2 linked regions of the Daphnia pulex genome follow. Each later gene encodes a partner of the first gene's protein in a complex. Links are inferred from orthologs where the notes say so. Each region holds a gene or a part of one and is shown on either strand. Other genes may lie near its edges. The genes, in order: phosphatidylinositol N-acetylglucosaminyltransferase subunit A-like and phosphatidylinositol N-acetylglucosaminyltransferase subunit H-like.

Region 1 (16,249 bases):
CCAAATCCAGACGGAGGATGGCGTGGGGCAGAGCGTAACCTATATTTCAACCGTAATATATCGTTGATAAATTTGTCTCATCCATGACGATTAATTTTTGTTTCGAACCTTCATAGATGGGGACGGTGTGGGAGACACCATCACCGGAGTCCAAGACGATACCAGTGGTACGACCGGAGGCATAGAGGGAGAGGACGGCCTGGATGGCGACGTACATGGCCGGGCAGTTGAAGGTCTCGAACATGATCTGCATTGAGTGGATAGAGCCATACGACCAAAAAAGGAGGTTAGTGGACGTCTTCTGTGGCTAGCATTGCGGTGATTTCGCGTGTCATTTTTGTTTTGGGGTTGTTATTCGCACCTGGGTCATCTTCTCACGGTTAGCCTTGGGGTTGAGGGGAGCTTCAGTCAAGAGGATGGGGTGTTCCTCGGGAGCCACGCGCAACTCGTTGTAGAAGGTGTGGTGCCAGATCTTTTCCATGTCATCCCAGTTGGTGATGATACCGTGCTCAATGGGGTATTTCAGAGTCAAGATACCACGCTTGGACTGAGCCTCGTCACCGACGTACGAGTCTTTCTGGCCCATACCCACCATGACACCCTGTAATAGTTAAAACAATTATTAGTCGTCGCCATCCAGTTGTCCGACAGTCGGCCCTTTCCGTTCAAATCCCATCCCAGATGTTGGGAGTTGTCTATGCAATAACGGGGAGGCCAAAGTTAAAAGAAGGAACGACCGGCACGAATGCCAGTGGGGGAGCACTAGCGTGGGTCCACACCAAGTCATCCGATCCCTGCCACACATGGTAGCGGGAGGTATATAGAAAAACAGAGATGAGAACAGGGGGGGGGGGTGGACGAAGCCAGAAAGATCTTGGGCTATTTTAGCACCAGACCTTCCTCCTTCTGGTGTCGTGGCTAATTTTAGCCAGCATCCGACTTCCCGCCCCCACGTCGCATCCTCCACCATCTCCTTTTATGGAAGTGCCGCTCTAGGTTTTTACATTTACTCTGCTGTTTAGTTATCCCCCCCAGTTTTGAGATCACATTTTACGGGTTTCAGGAAGTAGGAATAGATTTTTTTATATTTTTCTCTTCTTTCCAGAAGAATCCCGATTCTTTAAAAATCAAAATGGGCTTTTTTTTTTTGTTCTACGCTTGGAGTAAAATTTCCGATTCCCGATTTGTTGTTGCTTGTTTGAGACGAATTTTTATACCTGGTGGCGAGGACGGCCGACAATGGAGGGGAAGACGGCACGAGGGGCGTCATCTCCGGCGAATCCAGCCTTGCACATACCGGATCCGTTGTCCACAACCAAAGCCGCAACATCGTCGTCACACATGTTGATGAATTAAGTCTGGGGGGCGAGTGAACTGGAAAAAACTGCGAAAAAAACAGAACACACAAAATGAAGACAAATTAGATCAGACAAAAAAAAACAATAACAGCGGTGCAAATATCTTTTTCTCTGTTGTCCCTGTTCTTTTTTGTGAAGGAGCTTAGGGAGTGACGGGGCAAAGTTTTTCTAGAGCTTCGTCTGTTTTTGGAGGATTTTTTGACTGGCTTATTGGAATATGTGGAACAACTTTTTGATATTTAACTGGCTAGTTGGAAACACTTGTACTTGTCTACGATAAATCACTGTGGGGAATTCAGAAAAAGGCAACCGAAAAGCGACAAATAATTGCCGTTTTTAATAGTTTTCAAAAGCGGAAATCGTAAAAGAGTGAAAGAAGATTGCGTCGAAACGTGAGCTTGCATCAGATGGCTGTCCATGTCAAGGAAACCAAGAAAAAGAAAAGTATGTAAAATAGACAGCGGATGAGAGCCACTCTGTGCCTTCTAGAGAGATTTGTGATCGTTTCCAGATGCTCACACACGTTTACAGCGCTACGGCAACGTACGACTGGACACTCAGAAAAGTTGAAATAGTGAAATGTATGCGTGAGATTTACAAGTGCAAAAAAAAATTAATTTTTGATTGAAACTAAATGGAAAAAAACGGCAAATTTTAAATTGAAAGGATCCCTATTCCTGATCGCGATCGATTCCAGAATTTCCATTCCAGAATGGAACTAAACACTGCTGTAGTTATCAAACTCGCTAAACACTTTTTGGGGATTTTCCGCTCTCACTATTTAAAGTTGTAATGTGTAGAATAATGCACCACGCTATGTACGCAATACGTAAAAGAAGAAGCTGGACAAGAATATATTACCAGGTACGTTTGCTCTGTTGAGCTAACCGACTGGGGACGGTCTGGTGTACTGACAACTCGGAACTCCTCGTCTTATAAAGGGCTTGGGAGTGGCTTAGGGTGGTGGTCCACTGGCTTCCAGACGGACGAACTGGAGGAGGCCAAAAAGAGGGAGGAGGGTGGTGAAAACGAGAGAGTAGAAAGAAGAAAAGAGAAAGAGAGGGAAAGAGAAAGAGAGAGAGAGGAGTGTGCTTCAAGACGAAAATATCTTTCGCTTCTTTCGACGGGCAAGGAAGGGATCCCGCGTCTTTTTACTATACGCGCACACGAGGACCAAACATGGGCCTTTTACATCCCCCCTCATCGTTGGGAACCAACCTATTCCCTTTCCATATATTGAGCATTCGCTCCTCAAAACTACAAAGTTTAGGGATAAATGAGCATTTTTCATTATCAAGTTCTAATTACCAAAAGGTCTAATTGCACCGATACATTTGTTAATTAGAACAATGATTTCAAACTTACTTTGATAATTGATTTCAATCTTGTGCTTGATTGCGATCCTCGATGATTTGCTTCAATTCTACGCCCCCGACATTAAATCTGCAAATAATCTCTCTTTGCTGATTCTAATTTTCAAAGTTCCTTGTAATTCAATTTCTTGAAAGTTCTTATCTCTTGTTAGCACCGAAAGGAATTTTACTTTCGTTCTCTTGAAGGCCAACTCATAGTGAAAATATTTTGACTAGTAAGAGGTCATTAGCTCAATGATTGGACTTCAGACTTCAGACTTGTAGCGGTGCTGGACTGCAGACCGGCCATTTAAGGGTTGGGATTTGCGGGTAACGTGAACGGTAAATTGAATTGAATCGAGACGGACAAGAAGCTGTAAATCATTGAAAGAATTCGTCAAGTTTTTGGCCTCCTTATTTTCACTCAAAAGCCTCTAGGAAGTAAGCAAGCGAATGAATGGTTGTCGTGACCATAAATGGCGAGGGACGCCGTTTGGACTCCGGCGGCGTCACGACGCGTGGGGTGGGATGGACGCAAACCGTTTGGAGACCGAGGAGGAGGAAAAAGAGAAGAAGGATGGGAGAGGAGGTGGGGGGGGGGAGGGAGTGCCGAGTGAGAGATCAAACCGTAGAGGAGTAGATGCAACTTTTTGTTTTTGTTTGACTTTATTTTCTGTGTGATCCGCTATTTCTTCGTGGTTCTGGCGCCATTTTCAAAACAATATTTAGGTTTCTTTTATTTCATTCGTTTACATTAAGAAACCCCAGTGCTACTCTATTCTCTCTCACGAACGCGCGAGTTTATGCAATGATGAAATCCAGCGTCCCCACTCGAAAACTCGCGCGTGAATGTCTGAAACCACATAGTCTAGGAGTAATCGTAGCACAAATTCGGTCTAGAGTCTGCTGTGCTTCTTTCGGTTCTATGGTTGGCCATCCGACCGTGTTGTATAAACGTAATTTCAAACCGCGAAAGTTCTAAAAATGAAGTAGTTGATACACACCAACAACATGGTTTGTTTCAAAGCCATCGCGTCAGAGGACAGAGAAAAGAAACACGGAGGGAGAGGGGGGGCATGCAGCAGCTTGATTTGGTGGGGCCTATGTTTAAACGCAGTCGCTCCCAACTTTGGAGCGGGGTTAAATTTAGAACTTTTCTAACCGAAAATGCCCAGCAACACACACACGCAAGACATACAGACGTACAGACATATACACTACACACACACACACACACGCACACACAGGGCACTCATTGGGAGGTTGCCCATATGTGGCAATACTAACGCTCTATCAACCCCCTTAATTCCGCCTTAATTCTCATCATTCCTTAAAGTAGACTCAGTCATACCCTCGACACTTTTCTTATCGACTAATTACGCCTCTCAAATATTACCCGTCGCGTATGGTGTGCGCCGCCTCTTCGTTAAATGCTCGACATCTTGCGATAATGTATTAACATACTATGTTTTATACTTTTCCGCTGTACGGAATCTATAGGGAAACCGTAGAAAAGAGCTGACAATTTATCGCGGAAGTTGTTAGTACTGTTTCTATTTATGCAGCAAGTTTTCTCCTGCCTACTTGGCACCGATCGAGCTTCCTCCTTTTTTTCCTGTTTTGAAAGAGATCCAATGATCGCTGCGAGCTCTTTCATTCAGTATGATCGTATCCTGTTTCCGGATGATCGGATCGTTGCAGTCGTTTTGCCGGTCTAATATTCTACTTGGACTAAATGATACGTTTAATCTGCTATTGACCGACTCGAGTGCAGCGATGTCAAATAAGATCGGGTGACCAGACCTTTTCTTTTCTCCATCGCTCACTCTCCGCAGCGTGAAACAAGGCCGTTGAGAATAGACTGAGCATCAGACGGCCGCGCACCCGGTAGGGCGACCGTTTGGAAACAGGCAACATCCCAAAGACAAGCATCTAAAGGAGAGCAACTGCCACCATGTCTGTTCCTCGTACCAGAAATAACACACAGGAGACCAGATAGCTAGCTGAATCGAGGTCAATTTTTTTAACATTTCAAAAACGCAGATCTGTACTGCAAATTGTTGATTGACGCCAAAAAATGTAATCATGCGTGTCCTGCAAATCTCGTCCTTATAATTATCCATCAAAGTCCCTTTTTTTTGTTGTTGATTTAAAAAACAAAGATGCATTAATCAGACATCAAACTATGTCAAACTAAAATTTGGCCTATTAAAATTCACAGAAATCAATTTACACAGAATCAGGGAAACATGTTGATAGCACCTGGGAAATTTAACTCCGATGCATTTTGTAGTTTGGTAGCTAGATTTCCAGAGAAACTCTAAGAACACGCGAGCATGACTAAATATAGGTGCGACACCGGGTCTAATACCTTATAAGCATGCCGTCTCAAACCGCACGGTGGCAAAGCCAAGGCAAGGAATCTTCAAGGTGTTTGTGTGTTTTCTTCCTTTTTTTTTTTTTTTTTGCTTGACCGCCCTTGACGTAGTAGTTTTATAAGGATTACATCATAATCCTTTTTCGTTATTGTAATCCGGTGCGATATCGATCAAATGACGCGGGTAGAGCCACTCGAAAAACTGCAGCAGTATGTGACATATTGTGAAGATGAGAACGAAAAAGGGACCCGCAACTGGCCCACAGTTTCGGTATCTGCTTATAAGGGAAAATTCCAGGAGTCACATTTTTAGAAATTTTTCGAGCTTATCACATCATCATATATGGGCGTTATTTTTACCTGCAGAGAAGTTTCCCAACACTCAAACTTGGCTGCTGTTTGACGTCGTCGTAAACTAATTGCGTGCGAGTAGCAATGTCAACCCAGTTGTACGTGCGATGAATGAATTGATGACACTCCCATGGAGACATACAAGTTCCTTTCAGGTGGGAGTCGATGGCGTCATCCAGTGCTGAGACGATTGCTAAATATACAACGAGTAATTAAAGTGCCACTCAGCACTTTTAAATTGGGAAATAATTTTGTTTACCGCTGACGTCAGGCTGAGCCATGCGAATCATTTCTGGTGGGAGCACCTCAGGAATACCACCAACTTTAGTACTAACCACCTGCAAACTGTTTTTGTGTTAGTTAACAATTCGAAGAAAGATTTTATTGCGAAGGAAACTACTAACCCGCAGGCTGCAGCTTCCACAATAGCTATACAGTAAGCTTCAGTTAATGAGGTGTTTAAGAATATATGACCTCGCAGTAGTGTCCCGTGAACTTCAGATTGATCTAGTGCTCCGAGCAACGACACTCTTTCATGCAGCCCTTCTCTCTCGCGGACTTGTTCTAGTACGAGTCGCTTTGGTCCGTCACCTCCAATCAGAAAGTGAACCTGATTTAGGAATTGCATAACACTATTTCTGAAAGTAGTCTTAATTATTTGAAAATTACCTTGGGGTACTTTTTACAAATAATGGGAATTACGGAAGCTAGTAGGTCAATACCTTTCCTGTAGACTAGGCGGCTTAATGCAACAATTATTACTGAAATATTATAAATTATGCTGTTAATATTTCAGTAATTTGAGATTTTGCAAAAATCTAAATACTTTGATCTGTCTCCTTTTTGGTAACATCTGGTTTAAATAATGTTGTGTCTGTTGCATTTGGTATTACTGAGACATGGTTGGCAGGAACTTTAGCTCTTAATACTGTGTTTTCCTTCCTACCACCAGAAACAATTAAAATTTGATCGTAAGAATAATTTCAAAGGTGTTTGCATTTACCCTGTATGTGAAACACATATGCAGTGGTTTACCCCTGACAATGTGATTTCTAGAAGTTTATTGGTGAGAATTGCAGAGATGTCAGCAAACCCATTTAAGGAATGATCTGTGAAAACAGCCTGTAAATAATCAAACTCGTATTTACTTTGAAATTAATAATGATATGCATATGCTAGTAGTAAAGTTACCTTGAGACCCAACAATCTTGCTATTACAATACCTTCATGTGCTAATGTAGAAAAGGCTGAGTGCCCATGTACTATTTCAACACACTCTCTAATATAAATATTTCTAAAAATGGACAAGGAAGCGAAAAGAGTTGGGAGAACGACTTGGTCATGCATAGTTTTGATAGGAAGATAGTAAACCTGCAAAACAAGTGATTAACATTAGAAACCTCATTTGTTTAATCTTTGTTTTTCTATACTTTAAGGCCATTAGTCATATAGCGAACTCCGACTCGATTTCCGTAAGAATGAGTGATGACGATAACTTTGTGTCCAAGAGTTATCAGACATTGCGATAGGGTAAAAATGTGCGACTCTACTCCTCCCAAGTTTGGATAAAAGAAATCCGAGACCATGCTATCATAATAAGAGAAAAGAATTATTTTATGAAAGTTTTTCACAAACAGTTTTGCCTTACCAAATCACATGTCTCATTTTTTTTTTGTCTTCTGTTTTGACGTTTAAACGTCAAACAAGCTTGAAGTCCCTTCTAGCTAGGCGCTGCAGTCAACGCACTGCGCAAATTTTTTATATTGATTTGATTTTAAATATGGACTCCATTTAGTCCATTTTAAAACAATTATTACAAGCCGATGGCAAGAACTATTGTTTAAATCAAGATTTCCTGTTTCAAATTCGCAGGAAAAACTACTTTGTAAATGTATGTGCATTTCCCTACAAGAGCTATGGCATAGTCTAAGTAACCACGGAATAACCGCAACTACTAGGAATTTGCAGTATAGCGCGGGAATTTATTTACATGATTTGGCGATTGATCCCCTATTCAATAGAGTGTCCTTGGCGTAGGCAAGAAAATCCTTCGTATTTGTGTGGGTAGACTATTCTGTGCGGGTTCACCTTGGATGCACAAGATCTCTATTTATTAAAGTTAACTGAAACTTCAGCGTTTTCCGTCTAGCCGGCGAACCCTTATCCCTTTTTTGTGAGTTTTACATTACATGAAAGAGTCAGAAAGTGTTGAGTGGACACATGATGCTTTTCTAGATTGGATCCATCCCTTTTAAGAAAAGAAACAAACAAATGGCCTAAAAGGAAGAGAAAGAATAAAAAGAAAGCCAAATGGGCCAGTGGCGCTGCTGCTGTGGATATCCTTTGGTGTTACCCGCGGTGCGCTGGTCAAACGCAACCCGCACCTCGTCCGTGCAAGGTGGATTTTGATTTCGTTCTAGTGTTCTGTGTGCTGGTTCTCAGTGTCCGTTCATGTGGGACGTACCGTGTCAATGGTGCCATGCGACTAAAATGCATTAAACAACGTCGCCATAATCTGGCCAGATTGGTAAGCTGTTCGTTTATGTTTTGTTGTTTTGTTGTTGCTGTTGTTTTAATCAACGATTTCGAATGAAGCTGAAATCACGTGAAGGCCGTGAGATGGCATTTTCCTAAAACGCAAACAAATTTTATTACTTATCTTAATTGGTAAGAGTGTAGTCGTGTACCGGAACGTGTTTACTAATTAGAGCCATATACAGAATTCCCATTACTGTGTTATTTCTTAACTTTGAAGAAACAACTAGGTCATGATCGGCCAGCATCTTTTTTTTTTTTTTTTTTTTTTTTAACATTAAGAAATCTGAAAGGGGAACTCATAGCTCTGTGCTGGATTTGGCTCTCTACCTTTCACTCGGCGCCACCTTACTGTATGCAAATGGAATAACAAAATTGATTGATGAGAAATCTCTTTTTATGATATCATGCAGCGGGTTTTTCCTTGACATTTTCCAGGATTGTCTAAATATGATGCATGTAGTTGATATTTGATCCATTTCCTTACATACGAATCTCGTCTTGTATAATAGTTTGTGCGGCGGAGACTCGAGTCGAGGGGACACCACAAGGACGACAAGGGCCAGACGTCTAACCCATCAACAAACTCTGCAAAGGAGCAGAGTCCCTCGACGGAACCATCGGATGGAAACTTGGAAACAGTCACGTCCAGAAGACTTGGTCGTGCGGATCATAAGGATGCTTTTCAAGACACGGTGACGCATTCATCTGTAGATTTTTTTTCCCTTTTTTTTAAATCTTTCTAGTTGGTAAGGAATCTCGGGTTCATTCGTCTCCGAACCTGTAATGACGTGTTGACCGTAGTTCTTGATGATTCATGAGGTACTACGGTACCTTTTCAGATAAAGGTCAACACTTTTTGAAGATGACAATAACATTTTACGCTTTCACACGTTTTTTCCTATTTTTGGAAGAGTAATGTCATTGTAAAACGACACTGTTTGGTTATGCTTTCTACGTACGCGACCAGCTGTTTCCGCTTTGCTGGACCTTTTTGAAACATTTTACATAAGTTGTGGAAACAACTTCTAAAAGAACAGCGGGCGAAGTAAATACAGGATAAATTAAGTCTAGGATAGAAAATACTTCACAGTACTTTTTTCAAAATTCAAATTTAGATTTAGATTTTGTTTGACAAGCGAGTGATGTGCAACCATGATAATTTATTCTGATTTTTTCCCCTGTTCAACTTCCAGTACGTCGTAGTTGAGCCTCCACCGGAAGTTAACGACGAATGTTCCAGAGAAAATAAACAATCTAAACATTCAAAAGCTGTTGGCACGTACTTCCGCGATGGTCGACGAAAGATAGACTATGTCCTAGTCCACGAAGAAGTTAGTCTGGCACCTAGCCGAAGCAGAAGTCACAACACTCCACACCAGTCATCGACGCCCTTGCCATTTCGCCAGGAAGGGAAATCGCCACAGGGCGGAATGCTACCAATGTTATTGACGTCAGCGGTACACCACAGCACACCAAAGCAGAACCGGAAGATGGATATCAGGAAGACATTTCTTGATAAACTCAAGTCACAAGGAATCGAAATCGAAGAGGTTTAATTCTTCTTCATTTAAATTTAATAATTCCAAGTATTTTCAACTCAATTTCAGACTACAACCGTAGTTGTTATTAGCATGTGTCTGCAAGTTGATCGTGAGTTGTTTAAGTGCGTAAAACAAGAGAGCCCTAGATGTTAAAGTTCAAATCCGTGTTCCAAAAGTTACGTGACGTGACGTGACAATTGAAACGAGAGACGGGAGTCACGCTCAGGAACTGGCAACTCTATCTCTCTATTGTGAAATTCTTTTTAAATACCAGAGAAGTCTGTCAAGAGATGATAAGAGCTCTTAAAAACAGATTTTTCCTTTTTTTATGCAACTTGTTTAACATTTTTTAAATTGATTTGCAGGAATTCACAGAAGGGAAAAGAACTAACGTCCGATTTATCAAATTGCACGCCCCTTTTCCGGTATGAATTGCCGATCTATTTTTTATGTTGACATTTAAAGGTTTACGTAACGATGAATGTTATTCATAGTTACTGGCTCATTGGGCGGAGGAATTGGGATTTCGTGCAAGGATTTTGGTAATAAATTAATAATAGAAGTTCAAGAGAGAGAAAAAAAATGTTTAATATTCGACGTCATATTTTATAAATTTAGTGCCAGGCCAAGGCCGATGAGGATAATTGGTCTGCAAGACTTTTCAAGTCCTTCAGGCTACCAAACTGTTTCGCACAGGAAATTCCAGGTGACCCGCCTCAAGTTTGCTGCACTTACCCATTTAGACGGTCGAAAATCTCAACGTACGAACGTATTCTTTAAAATTGTAAAAGTAATTTGGTTCTAACTGATGTATTACGTACCACAGGTTGTTGGGTAATCTTGATTGCGAATCTTATTTTACATCAACGGAGCGCAGTCGAATTGTTAACGAGATTTTGGCCAGGACAACATATGGAGACCGACGGAAAGGTGAAGTCGGCATCGAGCGCTTGTTAAAAGAGGGCGTCTACACAGCCTCCTACCCTTTGCATGAGGTCAGATGAATTTTTACGACTTCCAAGAAGAAACAGAAAACTAAATCTAAAACGCCTTTGCAATAAATTCTATTTTAGGGTTGCTATCAAGAAGACAAATCTGGGAATCAAGACCAACATAAATTAAATCCTCGTCAAGTTCTGCATGGATACTGGGCCCGTTGGTCCAAGTGGCCCAAGTACCAGCCATTGGATAACGTTCGCGAGTATTTTGGCGAGAAAATAGCTTTTTACTTCGCATGGCTCGGCTTCTATACTGGATGGCTTATTCCGCCATCGATCGTCGGTGTGTTGATCTTTATCTACGGTCTACTAACCGTAGAAGAGGATCCTGCATCGACGCAAGTCTGTCACAGCCAGGGCCAATTCCCTATGTGTCCGTTATGCGAGGAGAGCCAAGGATGCCATCAGTGGGATCTTAGCGATGTTTGCACTTACTCAAAGTTGTCTTACCTTTTCGATCATCCGGGGACAGTCGCTTTTGCTATTTTTGTCTCTTTCTGGGGTAAGACTGCGATTGGTAAATAACACTTAAACTAATAAAGTAGCCTATTAATCGAACTCTGCGCTTTTAGCTGTAACGTTTTTAGAGTATTGGAAGAGATACAGCGCACGCCTGGCTCACCGTTGGGATGTGGTAGATGTTGAACGAGAAGAAATACGCCCTCGTCCGGAATTCGCTTTGAAGGTACTAAACAAGAAATTGTGTCAATGATCAAATAATTGAAGGTTGGAGACACTGTAAACTCGAGATTTCAGAATATTTGCTGCTTTAATTGAGAATGCAATTTGCTTCAGGCTCCGTCTATTGCAACCAATCCCGTGACTGGTATAGCCGAGCCGGCTTTTCCTCACTCAATCAGGCGAAAGCGGATAATGGCCGGCGTCTGCTTCGTTTTCTTGATGGTGTGGCTGCTTTTTCTCTCTCTTGTTTTTTCGTCTTACTTTACCGGCAGATTGGGTTGCAAAGCACATGATAATAATTCTTTGATGGCAGGTTTGCATGGTGATTATCTTCATCGTCGCCATCATCATCTACCGGATCGTGGTCTCCATTCCCCTCTTCCAGCACGAGACCTTGAAGTCGCAAGCTCAAGTTATAGCAAATCTCTCCGGTGCCGTCGTCAATCTAGTGCTGATTATGGCTCTAGGCCGGTTCTACGAGAAGTTGGCCTACAAACTCACCACCTGGGGTGAGCGAGTTGTACAATTTACTTACATATTTGAATTACCCAGGCGTCGCCTCAATTGAACTCGCCGTCATTTTCTTTCTTGACGTTTAGAAATGCACAGAACACAAATCGAGTTCGAGGATAATTTAACCTTCAAGGTCTTCGCTTTCCAGTTTGTTAATTTGTACGCATCTCCGTTCTACATTGCCTTCTTCAAGGGCCGTTTCATCGGCTACCCAGGCAACTATCTGCACATTTTTGGATTGCGGAACGAAGAGGTATATTATTTAATCAAACAAACAATAAGGATGTTGGCAATTAGGCAGATAATTTAGTTGTATCAGGTTAATGTTTTCGGATTTTTTTTTTTCGTGATTCAGTGCAGTGCTGGCGGGTGTCTGGTAGAGCTCTCGCAACAGTTATTCATCATAATGGTTGGTAAGCAGGTCATCAACAACGCACAAGAAATTTTGTGGCCAAAAGTTCAAGCCTGGTGGCAAAATCGAAAAGTAATTCATTTTCGTCCCTCATTTTCATGGCCAAAAATGTGATTGATTTGTTTCTTTTTTTGTTTATTCATTTTTCAAGGTGGATTTCACCCAAAATAAAGACAAGTCCAAACCATGGGAGGCAGATTATCAGTTGGTCGAAAACGCCGGATTGTTCCAGGAATACCTTGAAATGGGTTTGTTTCATGAACATCGTGACAGATTTTTAGAAGATCGGTGTTGCTGATAAATTATCATTTCTTGGCCAGTGATGCAATTCGGTTTCATCACGATATTTGTTGCGGCCTTTCCGCTTGCTCCGCTTTTCGCACTGCTGAATAACGTCGTCGAGATACGACTAGACGCGCAGAAATTCGTCTGCAACACCCGACGGACAGTAGGGCACCAGGCCAAAAACATCGGAATCTGGCTGAGAATATTGGAATTTCTTGTTCATCTGGCTGTCATCAGCAATGTAAATCTTACTCCAGTTGTAGCGATAATATTTGAAATAATTGTGATAAACTGCTTCTCATTCTCAAAACAAATTCAAGGCATACTAACATTTGGATTTTTAATATAGGCATTTCTTATTTCTTTCACGTCCGAGTTCCTTCCCAAAATTCTTTACCAATACGAGCACTCGTGGTCGATGGATGGTTACGTCAATTTTACCCTTGCCATTTCTCCTAAAGGTGCATATAAATCTAGAAATATTTGACCTTCATAAGCTTTATACCTTCTAATTTGCTTGTTACCAGGCGCAATGGCAGAGCCGTGCTACTACCGTAGCTATCGCGATGAAGACGGTAAACTGTCGGCTTTTTACTGGAAATTGCTCGTCGTTCGATTGGCTTTTGTCGTCATCTTTGAGGTATTGTTTTCGCAATCCTACCTATCTAATGCAATAAGTTGCTGACTTATTTCCTTCTTGTTCAGCACTTCGTATTTGGAGTGTGCCGACTGATTGACGCCGTCGTTCCTGACGTCCCAAAGACTTTGGCCAACAAAATGAAGCGAGATCGATATTTGGCCAAACAAATACTACAGGATCCGGATCATCACATTCGAGTTGCCGAATGTACATAATTTAATTTTTCAGCTGCCAACCCCTTAATGGTCCTATATTTTATATTGGATTTTATACTATTGTTTTATTCGTCATGTGGAGGTTTTATTTTTTTCCTAAAAGCCAGACGATTCACAAAAATTGTGCAATGACCATTAACATTCATGCGAATGTTTTGGTGCACACGTGATATGAGATTTAGTTAGCTCATAAATCCACAACGGAGTGAATCCGGGTTAAACTAATAATTAAGTCCAACATCAAACATTCCACTTTTCCAATGATTTTGACAGGGTGGTACATGCATAGTTGCATGGTGGTTTATCAATGACCATATATTGACATTACTGTACATATATTTTTCAATGATATTTTTAATCCAATTTTTAAATTTTTTCCTGTCCCGTCTTTCAATAAATGCATTGTTCCTTGACCAGTATTATTTTTTCCGTTTTCTGGATTCAAATTCAATGATTAGTGCTGCCACCTGACGAGCATAGTAGGAACGAAACTCATTTGTCTGCTATTATCCTCATTAGTTTGAAAGATTGTGGTGCTTGGTCGTTGCGATTTGAAGCACGGTCGAACCGTCGAAATATATAATTTATTGTGGCTACGCAAATTATTGTATGCAAGTCGTGAAGATCAAAAAATGTTTCAGACTTGACTTTCTCATGTACTCGTGAAAAAAAAAATAATAGGAGGCGTAACTCATTATCTTTTAACACTTGTAGCATTCCATGCTGTGGCCATGCTTGCTTCAGAGATATGCACAGTGGCCTCTTTGCTCCTCTTGCTGTGCTAAAGTGAATGAATTTGAAAGCTTGCCCCGTCAAAACTTTCGGGGTGGTGAAAGTAGCTGTGACCCGAAAAGAGCGTGCAAAAAGGAACATCATAATTAAGAAACGCTTCCCTGCTGCCCGATATCCTGCTTTACCTCGTGGTCGTGTGCAATCTGCTTCGACTTTTTTCAGCCCAGGCTGTGGTGGCAGTAGTGCCAACTTGACTTTACCCAGTCCCAGACAGCAGCAATTTACACAAAAAGGTAGGACAGCACAGATTAAATCTCTCTTTTATCTCTGGTTTTGGGGTTGAATGTTCTGCTGTTGTGTGCATCAGCCCATGACAGCTGTATAGTGTAGTGGCATCATCATGTACAGCCTTTTTAATGGCCTGTATGCTTCCATGTTGTGGAATGGTGCTACTGATGTTTATCTCAAATACTATGACAATGTCTTTGTGTGTGGTGGACTACTTTTTCTTTGGCTCTGACATGAAGCACATCCACTTCCATCAACTGCAACAATAGTAGACAGTAGCCTACATTTAGACATGAGAAAACATTTCAAAGATTTTAGGTTTTGTTAAATTGAAAAAGACGAGGTTTTCTTTTTTTTACCATCCACAAGTAATCCATTTGTTTATTTTATTGTTGGAAACATTCATATACATATGTAAACCTCCATTCCAGAGAGTGAAAAACGATTGATTTTTGTTGAAGACATCAGGCCACTTGTTGATGACTCCATACTTGTTTTTTTAAGCTTTTAAAAAGATATTTGATGAATTTTTAAATTTCAATTGGACGCCGCTTTGTACTTGCAATTAAATATCAATGGAACGGCTTTTTTTCCCCACAAAAAATATCAACATGGTTGTTGGATCATTGCCAAAACGGAAGCAGTAGGGGTGATACAAAAAAATGGTTACCAGTCCGAAAAACACAAGTAATGAATAAATGTTGTTGTCCCGGGAAGAAGAAGGAAAAAACTGAAGCGACTAGGTATATATATATATATGGAAAAAAAGACACCTTCAAAAGAAACTTGAGTATATATAATATAATATAATAAGGGTAAGAGTCGTTGAAATTAACAAGTAATGGGGGGAGAGAAGAGCGATGTGTACAATTGTTTACATTTAAAAAAAGTTACGAGGCTACCGTTTTTTGTTTTTTCCTTTTTATTCGACGCCTTTTTTACGGGTCAGTTCGAGTAAGACACTCGAGTCGATGTCGACAAAGTTGTTGGCGTGTTCCAGGTAGTCTGCCAAGAGCCCGGACGATGGGCGGTGCAGCAAGAGTGGGCAAGGCAAGAGCTCTTGCATCACCGAGTGGTGAACGATCAAAGAGGTGAGGCTCGGAAATTCTTTGGTGAATCCCTTAAGAAATTAAAAGAAAAATTGAAATTAAATATTTGAACGACAAAAACAATTTTGATTGGTGAAGAATTGGGAGCCAAAACTCTGTGCGTACCTTGATTTTGAATCCTCGGTTGGTCTGCGTGATTAGATAGTGAGCAATGGAAGGTTTCTGACATTCTTTCGGCACACGGACAGATAGAGCGTAGCAACCTGGTTTCGAAGTCGACTCACGAACCAGGAACGATCCTACGGGCTCCTGTTGCAATATCTCCAAAGATATTTCCCTGTAGAAGCCAAATCGTGGTGTTAAATTCCAGTTTTTATTTATTCGTTCGTTCGTAGAGCAAAGGGGGGGAAAATATTGGAAGACGAAGGATTACCTAGGAATTCCGGCCTGGAACCAAGGGGCGCATTTGAGCAGGGCTTCTTCTTCTAAATTGGTCAAACTATCGGTCCTCACGGGCAGCGTGGGGAGGTAGCCTTCGTTGGCCGACGATGGCGACACTGATCTTGACGAGCCGCAAGACGACAGTGTGCCGACGCTGCTGCTGTTGCACGACGACGACTTGTTGTGGGTGGAGGGCTTGCCGGATGTGGCCGCCGTTGCGGAGAAGTCGATGGACGAGAGCAGCGGCTTGTAGCCCATCATCACTGGATGGTGGGAATGGAAAGGCATGACTAGAGCCGCTCCGATCCCCAAAGCCTTGCTGACTTGATCGCCTCCTCCACTGCTGCTGCTGCTGTTGGCTCCGCTGCTGCTTTTGATGAGCGTCTTGGCGGCGTCTTTACTGCACTTGCATTTGCTCATCTCGGCCAGATTGTTCTCCGGGGCCTCTGCCGCCGACTTCTGGAGATTGTTGGCCTTG
Region 2 (14,708 bases), on another chromosome or scaffold:
AGGGACTAGAGGCGGGTGTGGAATCAAAACTGCTTTGACTGCCACTATCCACTGTGTTAGTTGAAGTCTGGGTCTCCGTTACACCGCCCCACTTTTTATATGCTTCAACTTTTCTTAGGACTTGCAGACATGGCAAACACACCCGAGTTTCAGTGCTCTCCATATACTCAAGACGGGCACGTGAAGAACAGCAATTGTTGCAGAGAACTCGTCCACATGCACGACAATGATGTCGTCGTCTAATGACTGTAAATCGCTGACTACAATTCATGCATTGAGGAGCTTCTTCATCGGGAATCCAAACAGGCTTGAGAACTCCAAGTAATCGTTCATCTTCAGTTAAGCTACTATAAGGCTCTAGAAGGGAATCTTCCCCTTGTGAAAATCCCGAAATGACAGACGTAACGTTACTTTCTTCTTGAACATCCACAGACGCAGGCAAACCTTCTTCAGTTTCAGAAATTTCATCAATCACTTCACAAGACGAAGGAACTTCTTGATTACTCTCTGCACAAGGAAGATTAGGTTCAATGACATCAATTGTGGTATCCACCATAATCTGAGATGGCATGGTTTCAATGATAATTTCGCTGCTCACCAAACATGGATCATCTATTAATTGGGGCATTTCTTCTTCAGCACTCAATGAATCTTCTTGAAATTGAGGGTTTACTTCAGTAGAATCAGAATCACTAAATGATGAACCATTTGAATCCTCTGTTGATGTAATTTCACTGTCAGATAATGGTAAACTTTCTCCTTCTTCTGTTAAGGGCAGAATAGAAGTTATTTCTTCATTTGCAATGTCAATGTTGGAAACAGCATTTTCTTTATCAGCTTCAGAAGTACTGGGTGAATAATTTGGTTTATGATTATTTGCCTCTTGATCATCAGTGTGAAGATCAATAGTAGGCTGAGATAGTTCTCCTTCATCTTCTTTTTCCAATTCAGCAAGATAGCTTTCAAGTTCATCATCTGTTAAAGTGTCTGGATGAAGAGGATTAAAAGCTCCATTTTGTATGATAATGTTAGTCAACAATGGCTGAGTGACCACATCTTCTGTGAATGATTGATCAAGCAAGGTAGAACTTTCAACTGTGAGATGTACAGATTCTTCTTTAGTAAGAACACTATCAAGAGCTTCACTCAAATCAAGAAGCAACTCATTCTGTAGACTGGAATGTTCATTAGGGTTAACCACACTCAATTCTGCATCAATAAATTCATTTTCTGTTTGACACTCAACAATTTCTGCCTGTTCTGGTTGTGAGGTGTCTGGTGAAGTAGATTTTGATTCTAAGACTTCACAAACCACAAGGTTTGAACACTGCGGAAATTCCTGTTGACCATTGATTGAATCATCAAGCGGTTCTGATATTGTAAAATCCACTAATCCAGGAGAGTTCTGCTTCTGAAATTTATCAGTTTCTTCCAAAACGTCACACTTTTCAGCATTCTTAACAAACTGTTCTGCCTGGTCTAAAATATTAAATATAAAAAAAAAAAAATTATTTTTATTATTACCAGAAAAGTAGCATAAATAATGTTACCTTCTTGTAATTCAAAGTCATCCAAGACCTTGTCTAAATCCACAGCAAACTTCTCCATGTTAAAAGTGGGTGTTGACAATGTTCCACACAATATCTTTAAAAAAATATTTCAAAAATTCATTAAAAACTTCAATGAGTGGACGTCATTTCTTTGTATAGCTGGCACATGATTTGATTAAGGATTTCCCGATCGGACAATTCGTTGTCGTAATCCGACGGTAGTGTTAAACAGACGCACTCAAATTATTACGTATATTCGTCTGATGTTTGATAAAATATGGGAAATGGAATATGGCAAATTTCGAAGAATCATAAATTGCGGAATTTATGAAGTGGAATCGTTTTATTTATTTTTTAATTTGGTTTCCGTTTTATGGTGATTGGTGAAATCAGTCGTCCTGTTTGTCAGTGTATGAAGTCATTCGTATAATTTACTATAATACCAAAAGAATATCGATCCCTGTTTTCTCTTATCAGAAGGAAGGAAGTAGAAACCTCAAACCTAAAACAATAAGAGAATTGGACCAACACCAACCGATATTTTTTTACCGCGTTTTATTTTTCTTTAAAAACCGAAAACTAAACTGCAATGCAATTAAATTTTTATAGACAATCCACCCTATAATGCTATCGTCTGTTACTGATAGTATGTTTACATACGTAGGATAGTAAAATATTTGGAATGAATCGCAAATCGCAATAGACTATGACCTACAGCAACTACTTTTCCGAGAACTTTGAATTCTTCCTATGTTACCGTTTTCCGCAAATTATCTTTTCACATGAATAATACTTGGTTTCTAATGCCAGAACTGCACTGTAAAAGAAAAAAGATGGAGTTTGATGGCATTTAACCGTTAAAAAAAAAAAAGATCTTATTGGTCATGTCGTAGTCTATCTCTTTATTGAATTTTCAAAGCTTTTGTTTTTCTTAACAACACGTAATATAGTCAAATCACAGCATATATTTTATTATTGTTTTTCTTTAATCCACTTGAAAAAAGCTGTAAATAGTGACTCAGACACTCAGATATTTAGATTGTTATTAAATATTTCAATCCAGTAACCATCAGGGTCTTTGATGAAAGCTATTCCCTTCATTTTACCTACAAAGGAGAACAAAAATGTCAAATGAAGTATTGACGAGGACTCGACGTCGCATCATAAAATTAGTAAATAAAATTACCATCATTAGGTTTTTTCACAAATTCAACTCCAAGGTTGGCAAACCTTTCACATGCAGCATCAACATCTGGTACCATAATTCCAATGTGCCCTATGTAATACAACATTACACATTCACATTATTATATGAAAATTACATGTAATTTAACAATGGGAAAATAATGGTTTAAGAATACCATATCCCCTTGGTTCAGAGTTTCCAGTGTGATACTTCAATTCTGGGTCAGATTCACTTCCCCAGTTACTGTGAAATGAAAAATAAATGTAAGCAACTTTAAAATTATTTGTGAGAAAACTGTGTAACATTTACTGTGTAAGCTCTAAGGTTGCTTTTCTAGATAAGGCCCACTTGGCCCTATCTTTTTCATCAGCAGGTATGTCATCTGGACTTTCATATCCCATGAAGTACAGGGAGAATTTTATGGGGTGCGGAATGAACACTTTTTCAAAAAAAAATGTTCAATAATCGATTACCATATTTGATGTGAAAACAAATTGATAATCGATTTGAATATTGAAATCAAGTTGAAAATATATTCAAAAATTGAAAATCTTTTGAAAACGATTTCATAAATTGAAAATGATTTTGAAAAATGAAAATGATTTCGAAAAACTAAAATGAATTTGAAAAACTAAAATGATTTCGAAAAATGAAAACGAATTTGAAAAATGAAAATGAACTTGAAAAATGAAAATGAACTTGAATATCCATACAATTTCGGGAGTGCGATATGACACCACCCTACTCTATCCCCAGCTCTCTCCGGATGCTATAGCCACCCCGAGACAACCGACTAGCCATTGATGGCTATGTCGCTGATTCCAGCCAGCTAGGCCGTCAGCGATACTGTCAGCCCTTGCCGGGCGGTGCTGGCCACCGCTGCCGCCACAACGGCAGCCGCTAAAGTCTCTCTCGACCGCAGGCCGAGTATTACCCTACACAAAAATAGATTACACGATCCAACGTGTGAAAAATTTCATGTTCCTATACGACTACTTTTATTTGAGGCCGGCCATGAAAAAAAAAGCTTTTCTGTTGAAACGGACATGAGCAACATGACCATTTGGATCCTCTTCTTTGGCCTCCACCGCCATGTCCGCTGCCTCCATGATGGTAGAAAAGATAGACGTTGCGCCAATTTTTGGTGTTCAATCCGTCGCTGCAGCTGAGACAGAGCCATCCTTCCAACGAACTCTTCCTTGGAATGGCCCAATTTTATATAAATGCCGTAGAGTATCGGGTAGGTAACACTTCCGGCGCAAGTGGACCACATGGCAAAGACGTAGAGACAATAGAGAAGTCCAGCTCCCCAATCCGCTTAGATAGCGGATAATTTCCAGCAGGGCCAGCACCAACATGAGGATCCACGTCAGCAAGAAGGCGTGTCCGCCTTCTTCTTCTCGTCGGATTGAACGGCAGAGTATCGCAGCAGTACAGGACGCATAGGCCTATCCAGCGAAACGTACCAGAACACTTCTTTCCGGGCAGTTGGCAGTTAGTGGAATGACGAGAACTTCTCGAGGACGTCATACCGAGGCGTGACTGGAACTTTTCTCAGGTGAAAGCCACCCATTCGGCCGTTCCGTCTTCATCGTTGCTGGGTAGGCTGTGTGTCATTTACTGCAGGAACATGAAACTTTTCACGTTGGATCGTGTAATCTATTTTTGTGTAGAATACTCGGCCTGCGGTCGAGAGAGACTTTAGCGGCTGCCGTTGTGGCGGCAGCGGTGGCCAGCACCGCCCGGCAAGGGCTGAGAGTATCGCTGACGGCCTAGCTGGCTGGAATCAGCGACATAGCCATCAATGGCTAGTCGGTTGTCTCGGGGTGGCTATAGGAGATGGCTATGGAGAGAGCTGGGGATAGAGTAGGGTGGTGTCATATCGCACTCCCGAAATTGTATGGATATTCAAGTTCATTTTCATTTTTCAAGTTCATTTTCATTTTTCAAATTCGTTTTCATTTTTCGAAATCATTTTAGTTTTTCAAATTCATTTTAGTTTTTCGAAATCATTTTCATTTTTCAAAATCATTATCAATTTATGAAATCAATTTCAAAACATTTTCAATTTTTGAATTTATTTTCAACTTGGTTTCAATATTCGAATCGATTATCAATTTGTTTTCAGATCAAATATGGTAATCGATTTTTGAACATTTTTTTTTGAAAAAGTGTTCAATCCGCACCCCATAGAATTTCATTTCATCAAAGTTGAATTGCTTAAGTAAACACATTCCTAATACTCTAGTATAAAAATCAAGACTGGCCTTAGGATCTTTAATACGATACATGGTTTGCTGAAAGAGAAAATCCTGAAAAAAAAAACATTTTCCCATAACATTTTTAAGAATCAAAGTATGAAAATATTACTTTTGTCTGAGGGTCAGCATGTTTGCAAGCTGCCTTCACCTCTTCAGGACTTAATGGTTTACACTCTGCCATTTCTTTTTCTAAATAAAAAAATTAACGCACAATTTCATTTTTTGTCAGAGAATTTATACAATCCTGAATTCCTGAGTAAGAAAAACACTTACCGTTAGCTCAACTGCTTATTTGGACAAGGCCGCAGGTTGCTGTTTACGTTGCACCGTCGTCCGCACTAGATTATATCAGAATAAAACAATACAGTGTTGGACGTTTTATAGACGTATCAAAAAATTTATCAACGAATTATCGATTTAATTTCATATCGAGTTCGATTTTTACAAATTGGAAAATGCAAAACTACGCAACTACGCACTACACTCATGGTCGCTCATGCTCATACCATTAAATTATCTACGTATTTCTTAGGATTAACAATAACATTTACTATTGCAATGCACTTCTTCAGCACATTCCTAAATTGTGTCGGTGCATACGTATCATACGCAAGATTTGTTGTTCAATTTCAGATGACACATCGCACGCCTCATCACGGCTGGATCACCCTAATAAGACTAAATCAAATTTCTTACTTGTGTTAGATTACCTATCACAAGGAAAAAACTATATTAACTATGTTATTTTATGCTTGTAAATATTACTAGGTCACTCCAGACCTTACTTTATCTTGAGAACAAAAGGATCACTAACTAATTTTTCCAGTGGTAATTTACAGAAATTTTAGCGGTAAAAGTAAAACGGTTCCAACTGTATTAATTGCGGATGATGCTCACAGTAAAATACAAACACAAGATTGCAGTCATTCTTTTCTGTCAAATTTACTGTGTAAACAAATTCATTTCTTAGTTACTGGCGGTCTGTAAATGCCAACAACCACAGCATGATCACGCTCGTAAGGTTCAAGAGTCAATTGCTCAATCGGTTTCATTTTTTCAGCTTGCATTTTCTTGACTTCACCGGCAAATACGGCTTCGGGAGCGGCAGTCGAGTCGATGCAATTAGCCTACGCAAGTTAACAATTAAGTACCATTGTAAATTTAAAGTTTAGAAGGAAGTATACCTTAATAGAAATAACAAAATGTCCGCCATTCTTCAAGAAATATTGTGCGTTAAGCGCTACAATACGTGCTTGATCGGGCTGAGCAACATCGGCGAAAATGGTGTCAACCATACCAATCTAAATAGCAAATAAATCAAATTATTTGAAGTGGACGGATGAGTTGTTTTCATCAGACTTACCAGCATACGATATTTGTGAGGGTGACGAGCATCTTCAATAATTGGAATAATGTTGGTTCGTTTCTTGGCAACGTTAATCAAGTCACGACCAGAACGGTGAGAAAATTCGACGGCGTAAACAAGACCTTCCTGTAGTTACAAGGTTATTGTATATAATTCTTAAGTGCAAAAATTAATGAAATCAGTTTACCGGTCCAACAACGTCAGATACGTGAGAGACGGTTGTCCCAGAAGCAGCACCCAAATACAAAACTTTGCTTCCAGGAGGCATGTGAATCTGATCAACACCACCCAAGATAGCTGCAGCCAACTTTGAGCGGAAAGGATTCCAGACACGGTACTCAATCTTCTCAGCTCCTAGAACAAGACTGTTAAAGACTGCAAGCTAATTAAGAAAGCTGTTAAATGAAATACCTTCTTCTTCTACTGCTATTCTTTTTTCACCATACACTGAATCACCAATGGCCATGTTCTTTGTGACTAGAGCATCTTCTTTACCTCTGGCAATAAACACTCCAGCATGGCGATGGGGCTCGACAAAAACTTTCTTTCCTCCGCCCATGCCACCACGGCCTCCACCACCTCGGCCACGACCGCCACCACCACGTCCGCGTCCACCTCCTCGATCTCCACCAAATCCTCCTCTACCACGACCACCACGGTCACCAAAGCCACCACGACCTCTTCCACCTCCACGATCTCCACCAAATCCACCTCTGCCACCTCCACGGTCTCCACCAAATCCACCTCTGCCACCTCCTCGGTCTCCACCAAAGCCACCTCCTCCACCTCTGCCTCTCATGCCACCTCCTCCACGTGGGCTAAATGCTGTAATTTGGAAAACAAATACATGTAGTCAACTTGATTTGGATTCCATACATTTAGCGCATTCTTAACACATAAATTTTAACAAAACAGACACATAAAATGGCTGATGAACATGTCTACATTTAAACTCAAAAGCATGGCATGTCATGCAATTTAAAATAAATAAATCTTGACTATTTATACAACATAACATGAACATACAAAATAGATGACTCTAATAAAGTAAAATAATAAAAAAATTACCTGGAAAACCCATTATATAGGTATGTCTTCAATAAGAAATTCGAAAGCCAAAAATGAGAACGCTAAAAGCTGTTCTCTTCTTCCACGTGGTTCTGTCCAAATGCTTCCCTTCAGTCTGCAGCGCGGTGTGTGCTTTCGTTCTTGTTTCAGAAGGTACTGCTAAAGAGTCACTCGTCAGTGGCATTGGCGGCGCATGGAATCTTCGGGGTTGTAAGTTATTTTATAATCTATTAGGTATTATTTAATGCGTCACTTGTTAGACAATATAAAATTAATATAAAATTATTTAATTTTTTAAATCGAATATTAAATATTATAAACTACTAATGTATTAATTAATATTAAATAGAACCTAATTGCAGCATAGCTACCAGGCAGACGGATGATCAACAAAACGAGACTGGTTAGTGGTCTGCAAAGTTTTTGTGTGCATTTTTCAAATGGTCTGCTTTTCAAATGTTTGACGATCGTACGAGATATTTGAATGTTTACGGGAACCAATTAAAAGTTACTTATAATCATGGGACTATTTTTGAAGAATATGTAATCGATAGCCAACCATTCCTTTTTGAGAGATGGCTGTCTTGCACAGTGTTTTTAACAGCTATATTTCTTCATCTTGGTTTACATCATCATCACACACACATCCTGGCATTGCTTTGCTTTGTTTTAGCTATTTTAGCCTTGATTAAACTTCATACAAAAGTGAAAAAAGGTACTTATTATTAACCAAATGGTGTTTACTTACTTTTAACTGACTTGTATCATTTTATTAGAATCATTGCTCATTGTGAAAACAGTTGGCTTGCAGATTACCACCATATTTGCAACTGGGAGGAAATCTGCAAAGTTCATTTCATGGGAAAGAATACAGGGAGTCGTTATTAATGAAACTATAACAATGGTATGAATTGTCTCCTGGTCTTGAAGAAATTGAAATATTATCTTGCAGTATAAGACATTCTTTTGAAATAAGTGCTTTTGTGTAATACTAATCTTTATTTTCCATGTCAGCATCAGGTTTTGTTTTATTTAGCAATTTTACTCAAGTATGGACATGGAACAGAAATTCTTCCCATATTTCAGGTAAACTCAAAGATCTCTTCATTATAAAAAACATATCTGAATGATTTTTCTTACACAAAATAGCATACACTTCCTAGACTGGATTGCCTGAAAAATATTTATAAAAGCATTCACCAAATAGTAAACAAAGTGCAACATGATTGATTGGTGTATTGTAACTATGCAAGAGCGCAAACAATTGTGCCAAAATAAATTTTTAAAATTGTGTTTAAATGAGTTTTTCTTGACATGAAAAGTGGACTATTTCTCCACTGGAACATCGAACGAAAGCACTGTTTAAAAAAATTTACATATTTATTTTTAATTCCATGTTGAAGTGAAAAAAAAAACTTCTACTCTTACCTTTGATTTCCGAAGCGTTTTTTACACACGTGGCAGATATTTGATTCTGTTATCACGACTTTCTGATTTTGACATTCAATTCTCTGTTCGTGAACCTACATGTTAATGCTTAAATTAGTAATGTATTATTAATCACAGGGATTTTGAAATAATACTTGAAGATGTTCGGCATAAAGCAGACCACGCAAAAGCTGCAGCTCTCGACGTTGGGATGCAAAAGATTCTAGACTCCTCTGAAGAAAACGTTTAAGTTCCGAAAGAGGTATGGAAGCAGGTAAGATTTGCAATGTCTAGTGATTAAGGAGATGAATAATAATTTTACTTAATCAATTAAAGTATATAAGAAACAACTGGTCTTACCTTAACTGGGTCTAAACGCGACGGAAATCGATCCAATGTTTCCAGTGCTCTTTCGATATCAGGTTGCCTTTGGTGCGGCTCCTCAGTAGGATAAGCTAGACCGGGAATTTTGACAGCATCATCGGGTCGCAGTAAGAGTTTCAACAAGTAAAAATAGACCTAAAAACCAACCAAGGAATATATTGTCGTTGAAATATTGAGAAATTTTGCATTAACGAAAAAACCTCTTTATTTGCTGGTGAATTAGACTGGTAGCAGATATTACAGTAATCTATTGCTGCCGGTAAATCTTTGAGAATGTTGGTATAGATTGATAATGCTTGCTCGTGACGACCAACTTTGCCCAGTAAAATGGCCCTCTCCTCAAACAAGCCTACATATATAATAATAAAAATTCAAAATGTAACATTACGCAGAATTTAAAAAGCCAAAGCATAAACATCTTTAAAGTCACTTACAGTCGTATGGGAATTGAACTAGTATAGCCTCGGGAGAGCAGTGCCGAGAAATTTCAAGGAACGATCGTAACTTTGCTTTTGAATCTTGGTATTCACATTTAATTGCCGGGTCATTGTTATCCTCTTGTAACTGCTTTTCAAGTCTGAGAATTTTATCTTTGTAGAGCACGGCTAAGGCATTGTGGAAGAGAGCGTTCGAATCTTGCCATTCGTAGACAACATGTTCGAGATAGGGTAAAGCTAAAGAGCGATGGTTCTTATACAGAAAATCGTAGACTTTGGCACGTGGGAGTTCCTCGACTTCAGGCAAGTCTTCAATAAAAATTTTAAGACCATCTTCTGGGTGGCTTTGTATAACCCACGAGGAGAAGTCAAAAATTAAGTCCGTGTGTTCCGATCCTAGTCAACAAGATTTCCTTTTTTAAAAATATTACAGTTTCAAAGAAAGTCATGTTTAGGCTACCTAGATGTTGGAGATATTGTACAGTTCGGTCATGATGAGCAAGGGGGGATCCAAAATCTTCTGAGCTAGTTGCGTGTTTCCGAAGCAACTCCAATGCTTTCCGATGAAGGCCGCGAGTTTGGTAAAGGATTATAAGCTCAGCATGTTTGTGATGGCGCTTCAGCGCTCGTTCACTCTCTGCTAAATGACAATGGTTATCTCGTAGTCTTAACAAAGAAGCTACCAGGGCATCGTTGGTCAACAAATAGCATTTCAACAAGGTCGTATCGACTATTTCCAATAGTTGACGTCTTAGCTTCAAGCTTGAACCAACGTCCATAATGTTGGTTCCTGTTTTGACATTCTGACTCATAAGGTCATTCCTAACCTACAATTGAATAACAAATATTAACTCTTTGTAGGTAATAAATATTAAAAATTGTAACAACCTCAGTGAGATATTTAATCAAGGCCAACACAGCGAGATCGAGGTCTCTACCTTGCAAAACGGGAACAGCCTCGGGGTATTCCACTTTTTTCCGGAATTCTACTGGTAATAAATCGGGAAATAGACCAATCACGTAAGAAGGATCTGTAAATTCAATCGGTTTTTTCTTTAGTAAAATAATTTCAATTCATACATTTGCTCTCTCTTTAATCACCAGTAGCAAGCTTGAAAAATAGCTGCAATGATTCGTCAAAGTTGTGTTTCTGGAACAAATTGAAAGCAAACAACGACTGGATGTGTTGAACTTGCTGCGAGCGAATATCTTGTGGTTCGTTAGACAAGTTCTAATCATAAACGAAAAATCTCATTATTTCCCATCATCTCGAAAATTATGAAAAATTTATTTATAACATACCGCAAGCTGAATGGCCAACTGAAAATGTTTGTCTTCAAGCAAGCGAGGTAATTGCAAATGTACAGGGACTAAATGTAGACACCAAACATGAGAGGGAGATGCAACGTAAATCTGTCCGTTCTTCGATATGACTGACGTCATGTACTTGGCCTTTGGCAATTCTAATCGCTGGACAAGGAGCCGTGGCTCTGCTGCTCGAATCTCTATGCAAGACGTCAACACACCCAGAATGTATGGAGAGTCCTCCACTGCAAACATTTTGATTAGTCGACTTAGGTTATATTCTGAACAATATTGGGGTATCTTTTACCTAATAGGATCGGTCTCTCGGACCACGTCAGTGTATACTTGGTGCAAGGATTGCCATCGATATCGATCATAATTGTTTGTTCGTCTCTTCCCAAGGCGAATTTATCGCCTTGTAAGGCACATACCAAAGGTTCAGGCTGTTTTCCAGTGGGAAATAAATCTCTTTGCTCTCCTTCCAGCTATAAAAAGTTAAAAAATATAATTTATTGCCTAAGCAAATCTATTATCGTTAATTACAAAAGAAAAATACCTTGAGTAAACAATATTCCCCCTTAAAACCTAAGCAAAGAGTTTCTCTACACCAACCAATAGTCCGAGGAGTATCGGAAACCGACAAATCCGGCCCTAACTCCCGGAATTCTCGATTTTTCCAATAAAAAAGCTGCAGTTTTTTCTTCACTACAACACAAAGCCTCACTGCCACTGATATCTCCCCAGTCAAAGAAGTTTGTCTCTAAATGAACAATACAAAAGTTTAATTTTGTCACTTCCATCAAAGTCATTGGTTGATTCTGGGAAGGGAAAAAATATTACCTTGACATCAAGACTAAAACATGTGGCTCCTTTGGATTTATTAAGTGACGTTATGACTGGAAAATTAAACACTGTCAAATCATGAACAGACACAAGGTAATCTGAAAAGTATAAAGAAGAATTGGTTATAAGATTCCTATACAAACCAAATGGCACTTAAATACATTAAGCTCACCAGAAAGGCTGATAAGAATCTGGTGTTCAGGAACAACAGCTAGTTGTTGTATTGGTTTTTTGGCAAAATATTTGTTGGACCTTAGCAAGTGGACTTCACAACGTGAGCTGAGAGAACTTTCAGCACTGCCACCATTACTTGCGCCTTGAAGAACACTGTACATCAACAAATGTCCTTGTTGGGTTCCCACTAACAAGTGTTCATCTGAAAACAAATTTTCAATGTAAATAAAACCCATTCATATAATATAGATGAAGGATAGTTAAATAATAAGAAGGCACAGTTGACTAGTTGATAAATTAAAATCAAACAGTGGTTCTGTATTTAAAGTAAAATTACCATAAGCAGCTATAGATTCAATTTGGAGAGGTAATTTCTCCAAAATTGGTAACGCCTCATAGGCGTCATACATTTTTAAAAATCACTAATTGTATGGTGTTTTAATCTGACATGACACTGGGAGGGGGGGGGGAATTTGTTGTTTTGTAGCAGACATCATACAAATGTCCATCTATAGTTCACTACACACACTAAATTTAATTTAAAAGAAATTCCAAAATCAGAATAATTCAACCTAACTGAAAGATAAAATATACAAGCAATTAAATATTAAAAAATTCTAAGTTCTGTCAATGTGTAATTGCTCACCGACCTATCAATATTCAAGTGAATTTTCTTTATAATCCTTGTATTTAGCGCAAAATATTCTATTCTACGCAACGCTGCCTCACTGCTTGGTCATCTTGTTTATGAAATACTATCGCATATTCACAATCAAATTTCTAATCAGATTCTAGTCTTCATCACGTTTCCCTTCCCAGAAAGAACCAAGGAACCATATTCATTGAAGAAGATGTCGGATTTGACGAAACCAACCGTTCGTATCGGTTCCCGCAAAAGTCAGGTATTATTCTCATAAATCATTATTTCCGCTAGCGCATACTTCAAAAATTGCGACGTTATTCTATATTTGATTTTAGCTTGCGCTTGTTCAAAGCAATCATGTGCTCGATCTCCTCACTCAACACTATGAAGACAAAACATTTCATCTCGGTAATATTTTCGCATATTTGCGCTTCGCTGGCCCCTTTCATGAAATTAATTCAGATAAAACAACTTTTATCATTTAAAGAAACGATGACCACCATCGGAGACGAGGTGCTTGACAGAGCATTATCACAAATTGGCGAAAAGAGTTTGTTCACTCGTGAATTGGAGGTGGCTCTGGAACATAATAAGGTCGATCTCGTAGTACACTCACTTAAAGACATGCCGACGACGCTTCCTGAAGGCATGGTCATCGGTGCCATTCTAGAGTAAGTAATTTTAAAACCAAAATGATCATGCTATTATTTACTCACATGCATTTTAGGCGAGAAGATCCTAGAGACGCAGTCTTAATGGCTCCCAAGTTTTCCGGGTGTACATTAGCAACTTTACCAAGTGGCAGCGTCGTAGGTCAGTTGAAAAATTTCAATAGAAAGAGTGATCAAGTATTCAAACCCGTCATTATTTATTAGGAACGAGTTCGTTGCGCCGAGCAGCTCAATTGAAGCGCCACTTTCCCCACCTTGCAATCCAAGACGTAAGGGGAAATTTAAACACAAGGTATAATATAATTTCGCCGATAGATAAAATCTTTCGTCATTAATCGCGAGTTTCTGTGATAGACTACGCAAATTAGACGACGAAGGAACGTATGCTGCACTCATTTTAGCGACAGCTGGAGTCAAGCGAATGAACTGGGAATCGCGTATTTCAGAATATCTTGATACGGACGTGAGCATGTACGCCATTGGCCAAGGTGCACTCGGGATCGAGTGCCGCCAAGATGATATTGCTACTCGTCAACTTTTAGCACCATTTAGCCACGCTAACACGCTACTAGTGTAAGTAAAATTCTATTCATCGTTATATTACATCACATCATATTTTATACAACTATTGCAGTTGCGTTGCTGAACGTGCATTCCTTCGAACACTGGAAGGAGGCTGCTCAGCACCGGTGGCTGTGGAATCTCGTCTAGTTGGAGATATGCTCTACCTTAAGGGTGGTGTATGGAGTTTGGATGGGAAACAAAACGTCACCCAGTCATTGGAAGTGGAGCTAGTTGTATGTTTACTCTAACTTCATTAAAAATTAACATGCATCATTATAACTTATCACATAATTAATTTAGGATATCGAAGATGTTCCACCAGCTGCATCATACACTGCTGTTGTAAGTTCTAGTGTTGGCAATTCTCGCTTGGCCCTGGCGGAATGGTTGGGCGTATCCTTGGCCGGAAAAATCGTCTCATTGGGAGGAGGAGTTATACTTGACGAAGCGAAAAAAGAGACTGAAAATCGCAATTTGGTAGCTGCTAATGTACGCCCATCCAAATAGATGCGCGGATTTTTATCTTCTCTTAGTCAAACGTACATAGTAAAAGGAAGTAAAATTGTGGGTAAAGCTTTGAATACAGATGTGGTTTGTTAATTTTCAATGCTGTTTCTTTCCTTCTTCTTCTTTAAGCTAGGCTAATATTTCATAGATAAAAAAGCAAGCAAGATAACAAGGTATGAGAAATCCAGAAGACTTGGAAATAATACAGCTTTTAATTGATATACTGTATGCCATGCAACCCCAGCAGTGTACACTGTTCCAACGACAACACATGATAAGAGTTTTCTGAACTCTTAACTGATCGAAAACATAAACAAACGG

Evidence for each region.
Region 2: phosphatidylinositol N-acetylglucosaminyltransferase subunit A-like (region 1) and phosphatidylinositol N-acetylglucosaminyltransferase subunit H-like share a complex: the UniProt entries of both Homo sapiens proteins name them as parts of the glycosylphosphatidylinositol-N-acetylglucosaminyltransferase (GPI-GnT) complex. The link is inferred for Daphnia pulex from reciprocal best matches to the Homo sapiens genes PIGA and PIGH.

Annotation. Positions count from the first base shown.
Region 1 is NC_060018.1:6,038,487-6,054,735, forward strand, and holds phosphatidylinositol N-acetylglucosaminyltransferase subunit A-like, read right to left. Parts: upstream 7,219-16,249; 5' UTR 7,104-7,218; coding exon 7,087-7,103; intron 7,026-7,086; coding exon 6,869-7,025; intron 6,810-6,868; coding exon 6,630-6,809; intron 6,561-6,629; coding exon 6,442-6,560; intron 6,381-6,441; coding exon 6,265-6,380; intron 6,200-6,264; coding exon 6,108-6,199; intron 6,049-6,107; coding exon 5,843-6,048; intron 5,784-5,842; coding exon 5,698-5,783; intron 5,632-5,697; coding exon 5,448-5,631; intron 5,366-5,447; coding exon 5,218-5,365; 3' UTR 4,899-5,217; downstream 1-4,898. Other genes in the region: actin, muscle, read right to left, coding at 1-39, 109-247, 362-601, 1,218-1,343; anoctamin-7-like, read left to right, coding at 7,918-7,965, 8,486-8,668, 9,170-9,526, 9,883-9,942, 10,012-10,059, 10,136-10,278, 10,344-10,512, 10,591-11,017 and 10 more; potassium voltage-gated channel subfamily H member 6-like, read left to right, coding at 14,052-14,286; hybrid signal transduction histidine kinase D-like, read right to left, coding at 15,204-15,401, 15,496-15,667, 15,764-16,249. UniProt on the Homo sapiens protein: Catalytic subunit of the glycosylphosphatidylinositol-N-acetylglucosaminyltransferase (GPI-GnT) complex that catalyzes the transfer of N-acetylglucosamine from UDP-N-acetylglucosamine to phosphatidylinositol and participates in the first step of GPI biosynthesis.
Region 2 is NC_060022.1:6,333,287-6,347,994, reverse strand, and holds phosphatidylinositol N-acetylglucosaminyltransferase subunit H-like, read left to right. Parts: upstream 1-7,802; 5' UTR 7,803-7,887; coding exon 7,888-8,146; intron 8,147-8,207; coding exon 8,208-8,335; intron 8,336-8,445; coding exon 8,446-8,517; intron 8,518-8,580; coding exon 8,581-8,661; 3' UTR 8,662-8,724; downstream 8,725-14,708. Other genes in the region: zinc finger FYVE domain-containing protein 9-like, read right to left, coding at 1-1,479, 1,551-1,608; lactoylglutathione lyase-like, read right to left, coding at 2,577-2,656, 2,737-2,826, 2,912-2,979, 3,046-3,153, 4,933-5,048, 5,107-5,178; vam6/Vps39-like protein, read right to left, coding at 5,957-6,124, 6,182-6,298, 6,361-6,489, 6,551-6,717, 6,775-7,181, 8,860-8,954, 9,015-9,149, 9,220-9,378 and 11 more; porphobilinogen deaminase-like, read left to right, coding at 12,854-12,904, 12,981-13,053, 13,133-13,316, 13,373-13,458, 13,521-13,608, 13,671-13,889, 13,951-14,113, 14,181-14,387. UniProt on the Homo sapiens protein: Part of the glycosylphosphatidylinositol-N-acetylglucosaminyltransferase (GPI-GnT) complex that catalyzes the transfer of N-acetylglucosamine from UDP-N-acetylglucosamine to phosphatidylinositol and participates in the first step of GPI biosynthesis.